3 linked regions of the Sus scrofa genome follow. The protein of the gene in region 3 interacts with the protein of the main gene of each other region in a biochemical or structural test. Links are inferred from orthologs where the notes say so. Each region holds a gene or a part of one and is shown on either strand. Other genes may lie near its edges.

What was found.
Region 1: of the proteins of PDGFRB (region 3) and PTPRJ, one has a biochemical effect on the other in vitro, tested with the Homo sapiens proteins (2 studies listed by IntAct). The link is inferred for Sus scrofa from reciprocal best matches to the Homo sapiens genes PDGFRB and PTPRJ.
Region 2: the proteins of PDGFRB (region 3) and SLC9A3R2 form a complex in vitro, tested with the Homo sapiens proteins (2 studies listed by BioGRID and IntAct, with this or other methods). The link is inferred for Sus scrofa from reciprocal best matches to the Homo sapiens genes PDGFRB and NHERF2.

The regions. Positions count from the first base shown.
Region 1 is NC_010444.4:14,591,910-14,596,569, forward strand, and holds part of PTPRJ (receptor-type tyrosine-protein phosphatase eta), read right to left. Parts: intron 3,594-4,660; coding exon 3,366-3,593; intron 689-3,365; coding exon 422-688; intron 1-421. UniProt on the Homo sapiens protein: Tyrosine phosphatase which dephosphorylates or contributes to the dephosphorylation of CTNND1, FLT3, PDGFRB, MET, KDR, LYN, SRC, MAPK1, MAPK3, EGFR, TJP1, OCLN, PIK3R1 and PIK3R2. Plays a role in cell adhesion, migration, proliferation and differentiation.
Region 2 is NC_010445.4:39,942,411-39,947,070, forward strand, and holds part of SLC9A3R2 (Na(+)/H(+) exchange regulatory cofactor NHE-RF2), read right to left. Parts: intron 2,461-4,660; coding exon 2,281-2,460; intron 1,962-2,280; coding exon 1,808-1,961; intron 1,734-1,807; coding exon 1,690-1,733; intron 1,352-1,689; coding exon 1,289-1,351; intron 1,055-1,288; coding exon 896-1,054; 3' UTR 1-895.
Region 3 is NC_010444.4:151,164,996-151,169,655, forward strand, and holds part of PDGFRB (platelet-derived growth factor receptor beta), read right to left. Parts: intron 2,520-4,660; coding exon 2,425-2,519; intron 1,535-2,424; coding exon 1,402-1,534; intron 652-1,401; coding exon 547-651; intron 240-546; coding exon 129-239; intron 1-128. UniProt on the Homo sapiens protein: Tyrosine-protein kinase that acts as a cell-surface receptor for homodimeric PDGFB and PDGFD and for heterodimers formed by PDGFA and PDGFB, and plays an essential role in the regulation of embryonic development, cell proliferation, survival, differentiation, chemotaxis and migration.

The sequences.
Region 1 (4,660 bases), about 140 Mb from region 3:
TTGTCTCCATGTACCAATTAGCTCCCCATCTCTAACACACTAGAATGGTCATTATAAGCACAGGCTAGAGTCCAGGGAGCCCAGCTGCCTAATCCCACTTCTGACACTTACAAGGTGTGACACCTGCCCACAGAACCTCTCAGCCTTGGCTTCTTCATCCACATAATAAGGCTAATGCCAGACATGTCACAGAGTTGAGGATATTAAATGAGACAGTGCAAGGAAAGCACGTCACGTGACGCTGGGCATGTGGGAGGGTCAACCAATGATTATCGCTATTAGATCACACATCCTGAAGGCAGCAAGAGTCCCTGTGGACCCACACGCTTAGCGGTGAGGGCAGGAATAGAGTCTGTCTCGTATCAGGGCCTGGCACAGAGCAGGCAAGCATGAAAGGTTAACAAAGCAGGAGTGGACTCACGGGTGTACACCTGGAGAAAGCCCGGCGTGCCCGTGGAACCACCGTCGAGGAGAGGACACACCGTGATGTTGTACAAGGAACTCGATCTGAGTGGAGTGAGGACGGCCTGAGTCTCATTGACAGTGAGATTGAAGGAATCTGTCTCGCCAGCAACCTGTATCTCATAGGTATAGACGGAGGACGGCTCATGATCATTGATCTTCCAGGTCAGGGTCAAGCTGGTGGCGCTGATGTTCACAACTTTAATATCAAAAACCTGACTGGAATCTGCGAAGACACAAGAGGCGTTAACAACCACCAGAAGGGCCAAGCCAAAGAGAGAGACAGAGAGAAAGAGAGAGGAGCTGTCAGCAGGGCACATCATCCAATCTAAGCAGCACTCAGTGATTCTTCCTTCCAACTCTACACGTTTAAGTACAACTACAACGTACCCAACTGTATGGGGGTCCCAGCAGAATTCAGGCAGCATCTTCAGTGAAGAAACCACCTGACCACTTGCACCTGGGGAGTTAGTCTGTGTTCTTCTTTGTGAGCTGACTCTTAGAGATCGCAATGGACACCTCAAACAACATGCCCCCCACGAGGTTCAGGGTGACCCCAAAAGGTCTCAAGCATATAAACATACTCTACATGATCACTTAAAGATCACAGGCTTTAGCAGGGGGCAGCTCTGGATTCCAAGGTCAGCTCAGCTTTAATAGGCAGGTGGATCTTAGGAAAACCTGAGCTTCCTCATCTATGAAAGCAGGATAACAATTCTGACTCAAAGAGTACAAGTTATTCATCATTTGCACACACCACCCTCCCAAGTTACCCTCCACCTTCTTCTGCCTGTTCTGTGTCCAGGAGGCTGACCCCTGCACATTGCATCCCTGGGGCCCAGGTTGGGGGGTGAGTGGCATTCCTGCCAGGTGGCCTGGGACCAGGTTCCACCAACGGGTGACACAGGCAGGCTCCTGGAGGGCTGGAGGAGGAAAACAACTAGAGTCTTTCTCTGTACTGCCTCCTGCTCTGGGTCACCTGTTCCGGTCCAGCTGCGTCCTCCACGGCCCCAGCCCCTCACTGGGCTCTAGAAACACTGTCTCCTCCCCCTTGCTCTCCAGCCTGGGACATGATTTTCTACCACAACTAGTCTTGGGTGTCTCAACATCCTCCAGTGGTTCTCTTAACTCCACCTGGATAGTTACTTGAAAAAAAGTCTGGGTGTGTGTCTGTACATGAATATAGACACACATACATATACATACACCCACAGTAGAGAGGAGGTTAAGACCATAACATAACTATTACGAGTGTACATAATACAGATATCATTTATTAGGCACTACGACAATCAACACAAATCAGACTCTGTGTGTATCCATTTGTCCAAAAGCTTAACATATAATCAATTATTTAATTCCACTCGAATCACTTTAAAAAGGAGGGCCCCAGCCCACACTAATCTGCAGGGCCTCTTTTAGCAAATCAGGCAGAGAGACCCTCCTCTGGATGGCTCTGCCCTGGGGTGCATGGCTTGGTGAGGGGCCCACAGCCTAGATCCCAGCCCCCCTCACCCCTGCACTAGCATCCTGTGAGTAGGACAGCCCCATCATTGTCAACGGCACCCCTGGAGGAGCCCCTTTCCCCTCACCACCTTAGAATCTGGAGGGAGGGTCACCAGTCCAGCGTAGTCCAGACTTTCCTGGATGCTAGCCTGGTTTCTGTCCTTGACCTCCAGCCTCACACTCACTCCCTCCATTCTATGGGTCTCTGACAGCCTTTTGGAACAGATATATTTGGGGATAACATAACCAGAGTCGGTCTGTGCTGCCTGCCACCGAGCCCCTGAGGACTACAGGGCTGCAGCATTTGTTTCTGAGCCCACAGAGGCTGACCATGGACTTCTCATGTACATTTGCCTCAATTCCCCATCCATACGGGCATCCCTCGAGGGGAGGAGCCATGCGTTTCTTAACCCTCTCATCAGCACCGATCCCAAAAGCCTCTAAATATTGTTCCACATACAGAGTGGGAGTGCTGACAAATTAGAGATAGAAATATACCTGGCACTTGTGGGTGCCAGCAAATGTCACAGGAAGGTCAGCAGGCCTTCCAAGATCAGGTCAAAAGAAGAAACACATTTTCGTCTTTCAAGGGGAAAACTCCTAACCAACATGGACAAAGTGAAGATCAAGTTCAAGAGAAAAACATCACAGTAGTTGGACTCATTGGCTAGTCTGCAGAGTCAAAGGAAAGAGAGACTGAGGCAGCAGCTAGCGTCTGCACATGGCAGCTGCTCAACACGCTGCACTGAGTTCCATGAAAGAAGGGTCTCGGACACAAAGTGAAGAAGAAACAGAGTTTCCCGGCAGCCTAGCGGTGAAGGATCTGGTATTGTCACTGCTGTGGCTCAGGTCACTGCTGTGGAGCAGGTATGATCCCTGGCCCAGGAACTTTGTTTTTTTTTTCTTTTTTGTTTTTCCTCTTTAGGGCTGCACCTGCAGCCTAAGGAAGTTCCCTGTGTAGGGGCTGAATCGGAGCTGCAGCTGCCAACCTACACCACGACCACCACAACACCAGATCCAAGCGGCATTTGCAAACTATGCTCGTGGCAGCACTGGATCCTTACTTAACTCACTGAGCAAAGCCAGGGATCGAACCCACATCCTCATGGATATTAGTCGGGTTCTTAACCCACTGAGCCACAACAGGAACTCCATGGCCCAGGAACTTCTATATGCCATGGGTGCAGCCAAAAAAAAAAGAAAAGGAAAAGAAACTTACTGGATCTGCTCTGTCCAAAAATCTCTTCCAGAAAACTCCCTCTGACAACAAACTACTTAAACTCCCTCCAACAGCAAAACTACTTAAGAAGCAAGAGGTAATTCAGAACCAGAATCCCAGAAGACAAATTTTGTGCTAGAAAGCTCTGGCTGTGGCTATGTTACAAAATTCAACATACTTGTTTTGAACTCTGTGGCCTGGGGGTGTCCTTCGGGGCCATCTGCTGCCCGGGGATAAACAGTGGCCTTGTACCCTGCATCAGACTTTAACCCCCAAACCAGGACTTCCGTGGTGTCCGGGGTCAGAGAAGGGTCGGAGGGCAGGTCTGCAGATTCCAGTCGGTATTTGTACCCAGGGACGCCAGGGCTCCTGAGTGGCTGGGACAAGCTGTCTGTGTTGTTGGCATCTGTTTCAAACCAAAAAAAGCAAAGCAGACGTGACGTGCAACAGAAGAACAAACCTGTCTTCTTTCAGCGCCGCTGCCCTTCCCCCACCCCTTCCCCTCCCCCCATGAGAAGCCAACCCACCCACAGCTGCTACCACACAAATATCTGTTCCTTTCCTCCCCCAGAAGGATACACGCTCCTGAGAGGGCCCTGAGTGAGGCCGGTATGTGACTTTGCACTTTTATCCCAGGTAGCACCATAGACATTGGGGCCTCTCTCACCAACTCAGCTATCTGCATCTCTCCCCTTCTTTCGAGAAGTCACCTTTTCCCACCCAGCTCCAAAGATGGATTTCTCGGGACGGCCACGTGATCTGCACGTGGCTACTCAGAGCCCACTCACTCCAGAAACTCTGTCCTGGACCAGACCCCTGCAGAGAGAGGGCGAACCAGGCAGAACTGCTGAAGCAGGCGAAAGCTGCTAAAGAGAAAGAAGCAACAAGGACAGACAAGAGTCATCTCGCCTCTTCCTTCAAGGCCTTGCCTGGCTGTCCCAGCAGGGAAATATACACGAGACGAGAAGCTGCTCTTTTAGTCCAAGATACCCGAAGCCTGGTTCCTGATGCCTGCCCTCAAGAATCCTAACACCTCTCTCCAGAGTTCTGTTTCCTTGTGTGGAAAATGAGGACTGAGTTCTTGTTCTCAATGCACAGGGTCACCCCTGAAAATTCTATGAAGTCTGCAAATGACTCCTCCACTGTCGATGCAGAAAACATCCGCTAGATTTGCCTGAGCCGCATCCCTTCTCTCAAGGGAAGTGGTAAACTCCTCCCAGAGGCCTCTGTGGGCTAACACCTCTGTTACGCATTCAGCAGAAAGCTTAGAAAGCTAAAGAGACCCGCTATGTTTCTGGATGCCAGGCTCCAAAGTTTCAACCTCCAACGTGCTGACCTGTAACTTAAGAACACTTCCCTCCTTCGTCCTACACGTGTGGGGACCAACTAAAATGTAAAGGAGGAGTTCCCGTCGTGGCTCAGTGGTTAACGAATCTGACTAGGAACCATGAGGTTGCAGGTTCAATCCCTGGC
Region 2 (4,660 bases), on a different chromosome or scaffold from region 3:
ATGGCTTTTAGGGCAGACAGCGATGCCGGGTCGGTCTGGTTCTGGGCAGGAAGGAAGGCGGAGTCGGTGGGGCATCTTCAGGGGCGGCTCAGGGCAGGCGAGCCAAGAGCTTGGGGACCTTCCTGGGGGCTGCCGTGCAGGGACAAGGGGCCTGTCTACAGGCTGCCCTCCTCGGGCAGGGCCGAAGTTCTCCATCTCGGGCCCCACCAAGAACCCAGGCCCTGCCCCCGACCCAACCCCCACGCCAGGGAGGGCAGGGCCTGAGCAGCGAGGCAGCTCTTAGCTCTTATAGCCACGTGGGGCTCCTAGCCTCCCCGAAGCCTGCGTGAACACGGCCTGGGGGCCCCAGAACTCTGCCCCTGGAAGGCCCTGGGACTCCCTCGGGGAAGGCTGCTGCTGAGGGAGGTGGGAGGAAATGGTTTGCAGAGAAAGGTTTGTTTTATTGCAATTATTTAGAGAGCACGTCCTGAGGGGATGGGGGTGGGGGCTCTGGTATTAAGTGGAAACATGTGTGGAGCCAGAGCTCGTGTTGGAAAAAAAGCCAAAACACAAATTCCTTTAAGTCAGCAGGCCCAGGCAGAGCAGCAAGGGCCCGGCCTGGCGGGTCACCCCAGCCTCCCCTCCCCAGCCCACCTCTCTGGGTGTCTCTGTCCCTCCCGTCTCAGGGGCTTCCTCTGCCCGCTCCCCAGCACCCCGTGGGAAGGGGGCAGGACGGGGGCTCACTGGGGCACGGGCTGGTTCATGGGGGGTGGTGGGACCACCACGGCTTAGCGAGCGAAGGTGCCCCCGCTGCAGTCCACTGAGGCTCGGGGCGCTCTGGGCAAGGCCCAAGGTCCATGCCCAGAGGAGGCCCGGCTGGGGACCAGGCGGCGGCTGCGGCGGAGGGTGGGGGGTCTCAGAAGTTGCTGAAGATCTCACGCTTCCGGTTCCAGTCCATCTGTGGCGCCCGCTTGTTGACCCTGGTGGCCCTCGCCTTCTCCTTGGCCTCAGCCGCCGTGGGGCTCAGGTGGAGGCCACTCTCCTGGAAAGGGTCACGCTTCCAGGTGCTGCTGTCCTAGGGGTGGACACGGTGGCCAGGTGGCCAGAGTGAGCCCTGGACCCAAGCCCCCAGCCGGGTGACCCTTCCCACTGAACGCACACCAGAGGCCACCGGGCAGCAGGCTCAGGAGGGCTTCCCAGCGGTGGTGGCCTCACCGCCCAGGCGGACAGCTCCGGGGACACCCGCCCCCAAGGCTCCAGGCCCCCCAGGGAGGGACCACAGCAGTGGAGGTGGAGGGGCACCAGCTACCTCAGTGTCCTTGTCTAAGCCGGGCAGGTCACTTCGGGACGAGCACACGGAGCCACCATTGAGCTGGGAAACCAAGGTAAGGTGTGGCTTTAGGGCCCGGGGCCGGGAGGGCCCCCACACACAGCAGCAGAGCTGCATTTATTCCTCCACTTGGCAGCGGCCACGGAGCATCTACTCGGCACAGTAGGTGCCCCCTGTCCCCACCCCCACCCTGGGCGAGGGTGTGGCTGAGCTGGAAGGGACCCATAGGAGTATTAGAGCTGGAGTGACTGGGCCGGACAGGGTCTCCCAACCGCGCCTACACAAGGACAGATCCGGGAGGGGCTCTGTCAAGCCTGGGGACTCCCAGAGGTGCCCCGTATGGTCTCCTGGGCCAGCCCTGTCCCCTCCCACCCTCTCACCTGGGCTGAGCTGGTCCCATTGGTGACAGGTGATGGCAGTGGACCTGTGGGGACAGTGTGTCAATGGCTCTGCCCCCGAGGCTTCTCCCCAGCCCTGGCCCCCAGGGCGGCCACCCACCTTCCATGTGCTCCTGGGTGGGTGTGACCCGCAGCCGCTTGAAGTACGCATCCGTCTCGGGGTCCACCACCAGCAGCCGGGCCTCGTCCTCCCGCGCCTTGATGCAGGCAACCACCTCCGCGTGCCGCAGCCCCTCCACATTCTGCCCGTTCACCTGCCACCGCCAGCACGGTGTCAGTGCTGCCTGAGGGCAGGGCAGGGCCCCACCAGCCCCCCGGGCTACCTGGCCAGGTGTGGCATCAAATATTCATCAACGCTGTCACCAGCCAGGGTAGCCAGAGAAGCAGCAGCTCAGGTTCCCAGCATCTCCCCTCCTCCCGGGAGGACCTGGGGCTCGGAACACGTTTGCGCAGACAGGGAAGGACCCGGCGGGGACACACATGGGGGGGCCGTGGGCCCAGACACAAACAGAAGGGGCCAGGCACAGAGGCGCACACAGGGCAGCCAGCACCCCGAAGCCTCCATGGCGGTACCTCTATGAGTCGGTCCTGGGCTCGGAGGCCGGAGTGGGCAGCAGGTGAGCCTGGGTCCACGGAGCGGATGTACTGTCCAGGCCGGGACTTGTCGCTGTGCAGGTTAAACCCGTAACCCTGGGGGCCTTTTCGCAGGTGGCAGAGCCTTGGGCGCAGCTCCCTCAGGGGCCCGTTGACATCCTGCAGGCACAGGGGATGTGGGATGAGGCTCCAGGCCTTACCTCCCACCCCTGGAGGAGCTGACACCAATTGTGAACGCAGCAGTGGAGGCGGCTGGAGAGAAGCCACCCCACATTCAGCATCGTGCCCCTACCTGACTGGCAGCCCTGGTCTCAGGGGCCTACAGCACCACACCCATGCCTGGGGCGGCAGGGGGACCTCTTAGGCTGCCTGTGACGATGCAGCTTCGGGGTCCTGGACGAAGCCTTAGCTTCCAAACCCCAAAGGACCCACAAGGGGGTCAGGGACCTTCCAGGGGTGTTGGGAGAATCGGCTGGCTCAAGGACAGGGCTGAGGACAGACCCGGGTCCTCGGAGAGACCAGGTGAGACGAGCCACCGCTCATCAGTGTTCCGGGAGGGCTGTCCCCATGGGCCCTGCCTGCTGTCACACTCCCCCCCCCCCTCCCGCCGCAACCCCATCCGGAAGTGTGGGGCTGGCTCCAGCAGGCAGGCAGTTTTGTTTACTCTCCCAAAGGTCTCCACAGGGCTGGTAGCAGGCGGGCTGTGTTTGCTTTCACATTCCAGCGCCAGCAGGAGCCACCCCCGCCTAGCCTCGACGACAGACAGGCACAGGCACCGGGGATGAGAGGGGAGCGAGGGCGGGGCCTGCCTCCCACCTTCCTGCTCCCCTGGGAAGGCCCTCGACCCCCCAGGGCCCTGCCTCGCTTTACCTCTGGCATCGTGCAGGAGGGTTCCGGGCCGGGGGTGCGGGGTGGGGGCGCGCAGGCAGGGGCCCAGGCCCAGGAGGCCCACCCGGCCACGGCCCAAGGCAGCGACCCCTGCACGGAGCAGGTGTCAGCCCAATATGGCGGCGGCCGGGCGGCCGGGAGCTCAGGTTTCCGAGCAGGGAGCCGGCAGGTGAACAGCACCGGGCGGAGTGGGGTGGGCTGGGGGTGCTCACCAGGGCCCTTTCCCCACGCCTCCCTGTGTGGGGGGACCCTGGGCCGGCTGGCGGTGGCGCTGAGGGAGGACCCCCTCCAGGCCTCGGAGCCCAAAGCCCCCATCTGACAGCATCTTTCTCACAAGGGACTGCCTCGCCCTGGTCCCCGGGCCTTCCCACCTGTGGGGGACACCCTCTGCCAGTCCAGCCTGTGACCCTCCTCCGGGACCCCTTCCCTGACCCCAAAGCCTGTCCCCTCAGAAACCCCACTGCGGGCCACCATGTGCCCTTCAACCCCAGCAACTCCAGGAACCAGGCATGGTGCCTCGGTCCCCCAAGGCTTCAGCCAGGGGACATGGGCTGAACTGTGAGAGCCTGGCTTCTCTGGCACCTCAGCGACCCACTCATGCCCAGACACGCCTGGAAGCACAGGGGTGCGGCTCTGCGGCCCCTCTTGGGTCCGGGCTGTCAGAGCACAGGTCCCAGGGCTGCTGGTCTGACGGAGCAGAGCCAGGCCGTGAGAGACGGTGGATGTGTGGCAACGCCACGCCTGGCGTGTGGACAAGGGCCTGGGGGCCAAGGCACATCGCAGGGTCCCAGGGACCATTCTGCAAACACACGCTCACAAACAGGCTGCACACAGACCCGCAGTGACCAGCCGTGTGAAAGGCCAGCCCTCAGCACCAGCCCTGTGGCCTCTTCCCACGCCCTCCACAGTGGTTCCAGGGCGTGGCCTCTCAAGGCCCCCAAACGGGAAGCAGGATGGGGGGGCATCCGGGGCCACGAGGCCAGGCCACATGAAGTCACATCCAGTTTGAAACCGTCTCCCTGCCTCAACCCGGCATTCCGCCTCTCCCCACACAGCCCGGTGGGGGGTTCTTCCAACATCGGCCCAGACCTCTCTCATTAGGGTCAGGGTCCAAGGAGTGCTCGGACTAGACCCTCAGGCTGAGGGGCTGCAATGCCGTCGGGGTGGGGGCCGACCCTGGCAGGGAGGCCCAGCGAGGAGGCCAGAGCCTTGGGCCTGGAGGGGGCCAGCCTGGCCCAGCATTGCTCACATTCCTGGCTCCCGCCCTGGCTCAGAGCACTTCCTACCACCTCCCAGCAAGGCCCTTGGGCTCCCAGACCCCGTTCCCAGCCACGCAGGCCCAGAGCTGGACAAACCCTGGTCTCCCAGCCATGCCTGGGACCAGACAAAGAGGCTGGCACCCCCAGATGGTGGGGGTACCCCCGGAGACAGGCTGTGCCCCCACACACACACATGGTGACTCACCAGCCCG
Region 3 (4,660 bases):
CAGGCTCCGTGCGGCGACGGCACTGGACAGGATGGGCACGCCCTCTGGCTGGAGTGTCCTGGGGTCCAGGGACGGGGGGGGGGGCCTTTGGCCCCTGGCACTCTCCCAGAATCCCCTGGGGCGGGTACCTCCTTTAGTGCAGGCCCCCAGCAGGTTGACCACGTTCAGATGAGGCCCGAGATGACTCATGATCTTCAGCTCCGACATGAGGGCTTGCTTCTCACTGCTGCGCGCTGTGGCTGCGGGACAGAGGGGGGGCCTCAGGCCGGGGCCGTCGCCGAGGCCCGTGGAGGCCCCACCAAGGCCTCTGGCCCTTCTGCCCTGGTCTGCGCTGACCCACATACAGACCCAGGCAGCCACGGAGGCAAGATCCCCGCCCAGAAGAGGGGGGGGGGATGGGGGGAGGGGAGGAGGCCCCCAGAGGAGGAGAAATTTCCCAAAGCAGAATCCCCAGTGCTGCCAGCTGAGGCGGGACTGCCCTTCTCCCGCCCGGAGAATCAGAATGAGGCCTGCTGGGGGCAGGGGGGCAGGGCTCCCAGGACTCACATTTCAGCATCTTGACGGCCACTTTCATGGTAGCCTGAGAATGGCTCAGGCCGTGAGCTGTGGCCTCCACCACCTGACCAAAGGCCCCAGAGCCCAGGGTGCGTCCTGGGAAAAGACCATTTCTCAGCGCCGGACCCACAAGGAGGTGCATGCCCACGCCCCCAGAGGTCAGCCACCCACCCTGTGCCCAAGCTGCTTCTCCCATGCCCCTGCTAAAATCACAGTGCGCCACAGCCCCGCCTGGTCTCACCTCCGTCCTGCCTGGTCTCATCTCCGTCCTGCCTGGTCTCATCTCCGTCCTGCCTGGTCTCACCTCGGCCCTGCCTGGTCTCACCTCGCCCCTGCCTGGTCTCACCTCGGCCCTGCCTGGTCTCACCTCGCCCCTGCCTGGTCTCACCTCGGCCCTGCCTGGTCTCACCTTGCCCCTGCCTGGTCTCACCTCGCCCCTGCCTGGTCTCATCTCTGTCCTGCCTGGTCTCACCTTGGTCCTGCCTGCTTTCCTGCCCATCTTTAGCCTCTGGAAGCCGTGCTCCCTCCCAAAGGGAACACGGCTCTTCTGAACCCCCTCAGCCTCTCTGGCTGGACGACGCACCAGCCTGGCACTCAGCCCGCCCTCAACCAATACTCCCCCCCCCACCAAGGGGTCCCATCTCACTCCTCACAGGCCGTAGGACCTCGGGGCTGGTGGCCCTTGGGGATCTTCTTGACCCCGCCAGAGGGGCCCTGAGGCCAGAGATGCCAGAGCCACCAGCCTGAGGTCTCCAAGCCAGTCGTGCCCAGGCTGGGCCTGGACCTCAGATAGTGCCCGCCCCCCGCCCCAAGTGCCCAGACGGCCGCTCGAGGTCCTGGACTGACCAAGCACGAGCTGGTCCCGTGGCAGCTCCCAGGTGGAGTCGTACGGCAGCTGCATGGGGTCCACGTAAATGTACTCGTGGCCGTCAGAGCTCACGGATTCGATCACTTTCCACCGGATCTCGTAGCGCGGCTTCTGCAGGACGAGACCAGGCGTGGGTCATCGGAGGGGGGCCGGGCCTTGAGGCCCACGAGGCCCAGCGCCTTAGGAAACAGATGGGGCGAGAGACCCTGAAGCCCAGAAGGGTTGGGGCGTAGCCGGGGTCACACAGCAAGTCATCCGGGCTTCCCTGGGCTCCAGGGGGAGGGCGCCCGGGGGAGGCGGCTGAGGAGCAGCCGACAGCGGAGGGCAGGCGCATCAGAGCCTCCTCACTGGCTTCTCCCAGAACCGCCACCGCTCCTCAGACGAGAGCAGAGGAGCAGGCAGCCCTGGAAGGTGACTCGAGGGAGGGGACGCTCTGCCGGGGGCGGCCGGCCCGGCCCCAAGCGGGAGTCTCGGAAAGACGGAACCTCGGAATGTTGAAACCACGGGATGCTGGAATCACAGGGCTGCAGTCTTAGACGCACAGAACTGTGGCCGAGCTGCAGCCCGAACCCAGGAACTGCAGGACACTGGGGTCATGGAAGGATAAACTCTCAGAGCTGACTCTCAGCACTGCTGACGAACGGGATTAGAATTCCCGTCCGTGGAATCCTGGGTGGTTTTAGGGCTGCGAGCTGGAGAGGCCAGGCGGCCCACCGGGAAGGTCCCAGGCCCTGCGGCTGGGATGGGTGGGGGCGACGCCTGGCGGGGCCCGGGGTGGGGGCTGGGATGACGGCAGAGACAGGAGGCCCCGGGACGGCCGGGACCCGGCTCGCGGGGCCCGGGGTGCTGGGGCCGGAGGCAGCTCGGACCCCGGCCTCACTTTGTATCCTTCCACCTGAGCTCCGCACTCACGGCCAGACCTACCGCCCTCGAGGGTGGCAGAGGGCGTCCGCGTGAAGACGGCGGCGTGGCAGGCCGCCCCCAGGAGGCAGGGCGCTTACCTTCTGCCAGAGCATGACGAGGATAATGAGGGAGATGACGGTGAGGACCACCAGCGCCAGGACCGCGGAGACCACCACCACCTGGAAGGGCAGGGCTGGGGCGGGCGCGAGAGCTGCTGAGCGGCAAACGGGCCCCTGCCGCTCCCCCCGCCCCAGTCCATCTCTGGCACCACAGAGCCCTCCCCGCCCGGCCCGCCGGAAGGGAAGCAGCCCCAGCCGCCTCGGCCTGAGAGGTCAGACCCTCAGGCGCTCCCGTAAACACCCCAGACGGTGCCCTGACTACCCCGCATCGCTCCCGGCCTCCCATCCTTCAGCCCTTTGCCAGGGTCCGTGCGGCCTCCCTGCCGTGGCTGCGAGCTGGATGTGAGCGCCTGACAGCTGGGCTGGGCGCACGTCTCCCCTGAATCCATGTCCTCATCAGCGCTGTCGCAGCCAGGACAGAGCCCGACCGAGGGGCCCACGGGCCCGAGAGCTGAGCGCTCGGGCTGATGCTTCCCAACTGCAGAAGGCGGCCTCTTTCCTCCCCCACTTCACCCCGCATGTCCATCGGGGGTGTGGTGGTGATGGCAGTTGTAAAGCACCCCCCCCCACCCCGGGAACTCGGGTAGCCACAAAGGGCCCGCTCAAGCCTGAGTCTCCTGTCCCCCCAAGGCCTCAGCCTCTCTGCCGCCCAGCGACCCCCTCCTTCCCAATCCGCCGCATCCACCCCGGCCAGACTCTCATGGCCCCTGCCCTGCCCCTCCAGCCACCCACGTAGTGCCCCGGAAACTCATCCCTCCTCCCTGTCCCCCAGCTGCCCTCCTCTGCTCCCTAGAGAGCCCCTCCCTCCTCCTCAGGGACTCAGACCAGCCTCGCTCCTCTCCTCCCTCTCCCACCAGGTCACATGTCCTGGGAAGGAAGCCCACATCTCCTAGGGAGCCATCTCCGAGTAAAAAGGGGAGCCTTCAGCCACGGCAGTTCCCCGGGCGCTGGTGCATGGCTCCCCCTCAGGTGGTGCACCAAAGCTTTACTTCTTCCAGCTCGAAGCTGGTCGGCAGGTGCCCGCTTTCAGGTACACATGTGGGCGCACGGGTGAGATAAGGCATTTTAGCCCCCAGGCATCCCACCGGAGAGCGGGGGAGGCAGGTCTGTTTAGAGGCACGCCTGCCTGCACAAGCCCACGGACCTGCGTGCAGGCATAAAAATGTCCAAAACACCTCGAGCAACCCTCATGGCTCCCCTTGCCCTGGCTCCCGCCTCTCCTACAGCCCCTCCCGTCTGCCTCTTGCCCAAGCCCCGAAATACACCCACACTCTGTTCTCCAGCCAGGCTGAATGGCTTGCACGTCTCTGAACGCACGCTGCCTCTGGGCTTGCGCACCGGCTGTTCCCTCCGAGCAGAGCCCCCGCCCCCGCCCCCACCGGGCTAACTCCTGGTGATCTCACGCTGACCTAAAGCTTCCTCTCACCAGGATGCGTTCCCAGATCCCACAGCCGGGGCTGGAACCCCTCCTCCCTCTAGGCTTCCCCCCGGGTGCCCACCCCCACAGGGAGGTTGCCCAGTTCCCTGTCTGCCTCCTCCCCGGACTGCGGGCACTAGGGGACGGGCAGGGCTGGGCTTCTCCAGTGAGAAGCTGGGACTCTGCGACCATTTACTGAACGGGGCAACAGGTGACTACATGAAGCCCGTGCATGTGTGGGACCGCCAGGCAGCCCACGCAACGCAGGGCTGTTGATACGGACAAGAATCACGCATGGACGTGAGCCTGCGCGTGGGCTCAGCAGGCACCCGAGGGCGGGGACTGGGGTGTGTGCTGTTTCGGAGCGGCGTTCTGTCTCCCCAGGCTTTCGGGATGCTCTCTGCCAGTGTGCACGATGCACTGTTTGCACACCTGCACGCCCACAGACACACACCCATGGGTTTATACACCTGCCCGGGGACTGGGCGTGGCCCTGGAGGTGGTTTACAAACACACACTTGGTGCGTTTACACACATAAACATGCTCGTGTACACGCCTACAGACACGCTCTAGTTTCACGCAGGTACGTGGGGACCGGGCCTTCTTCCCCCCTGTTTTGCAAATCTATAGACAGAGGGTTTGCACCCGTGCCCAATGATCAGGCGGCTCACGGACACAGCGTACCACACACGGACAGCGTGTGCACACGACAGGTAAGAAGAAAGTCCCGGGTCATTTGCACACGCTTGTGGATGTACACACATGCCGCTCCTGCACTGCTGTGTGAGTGCGCGGGG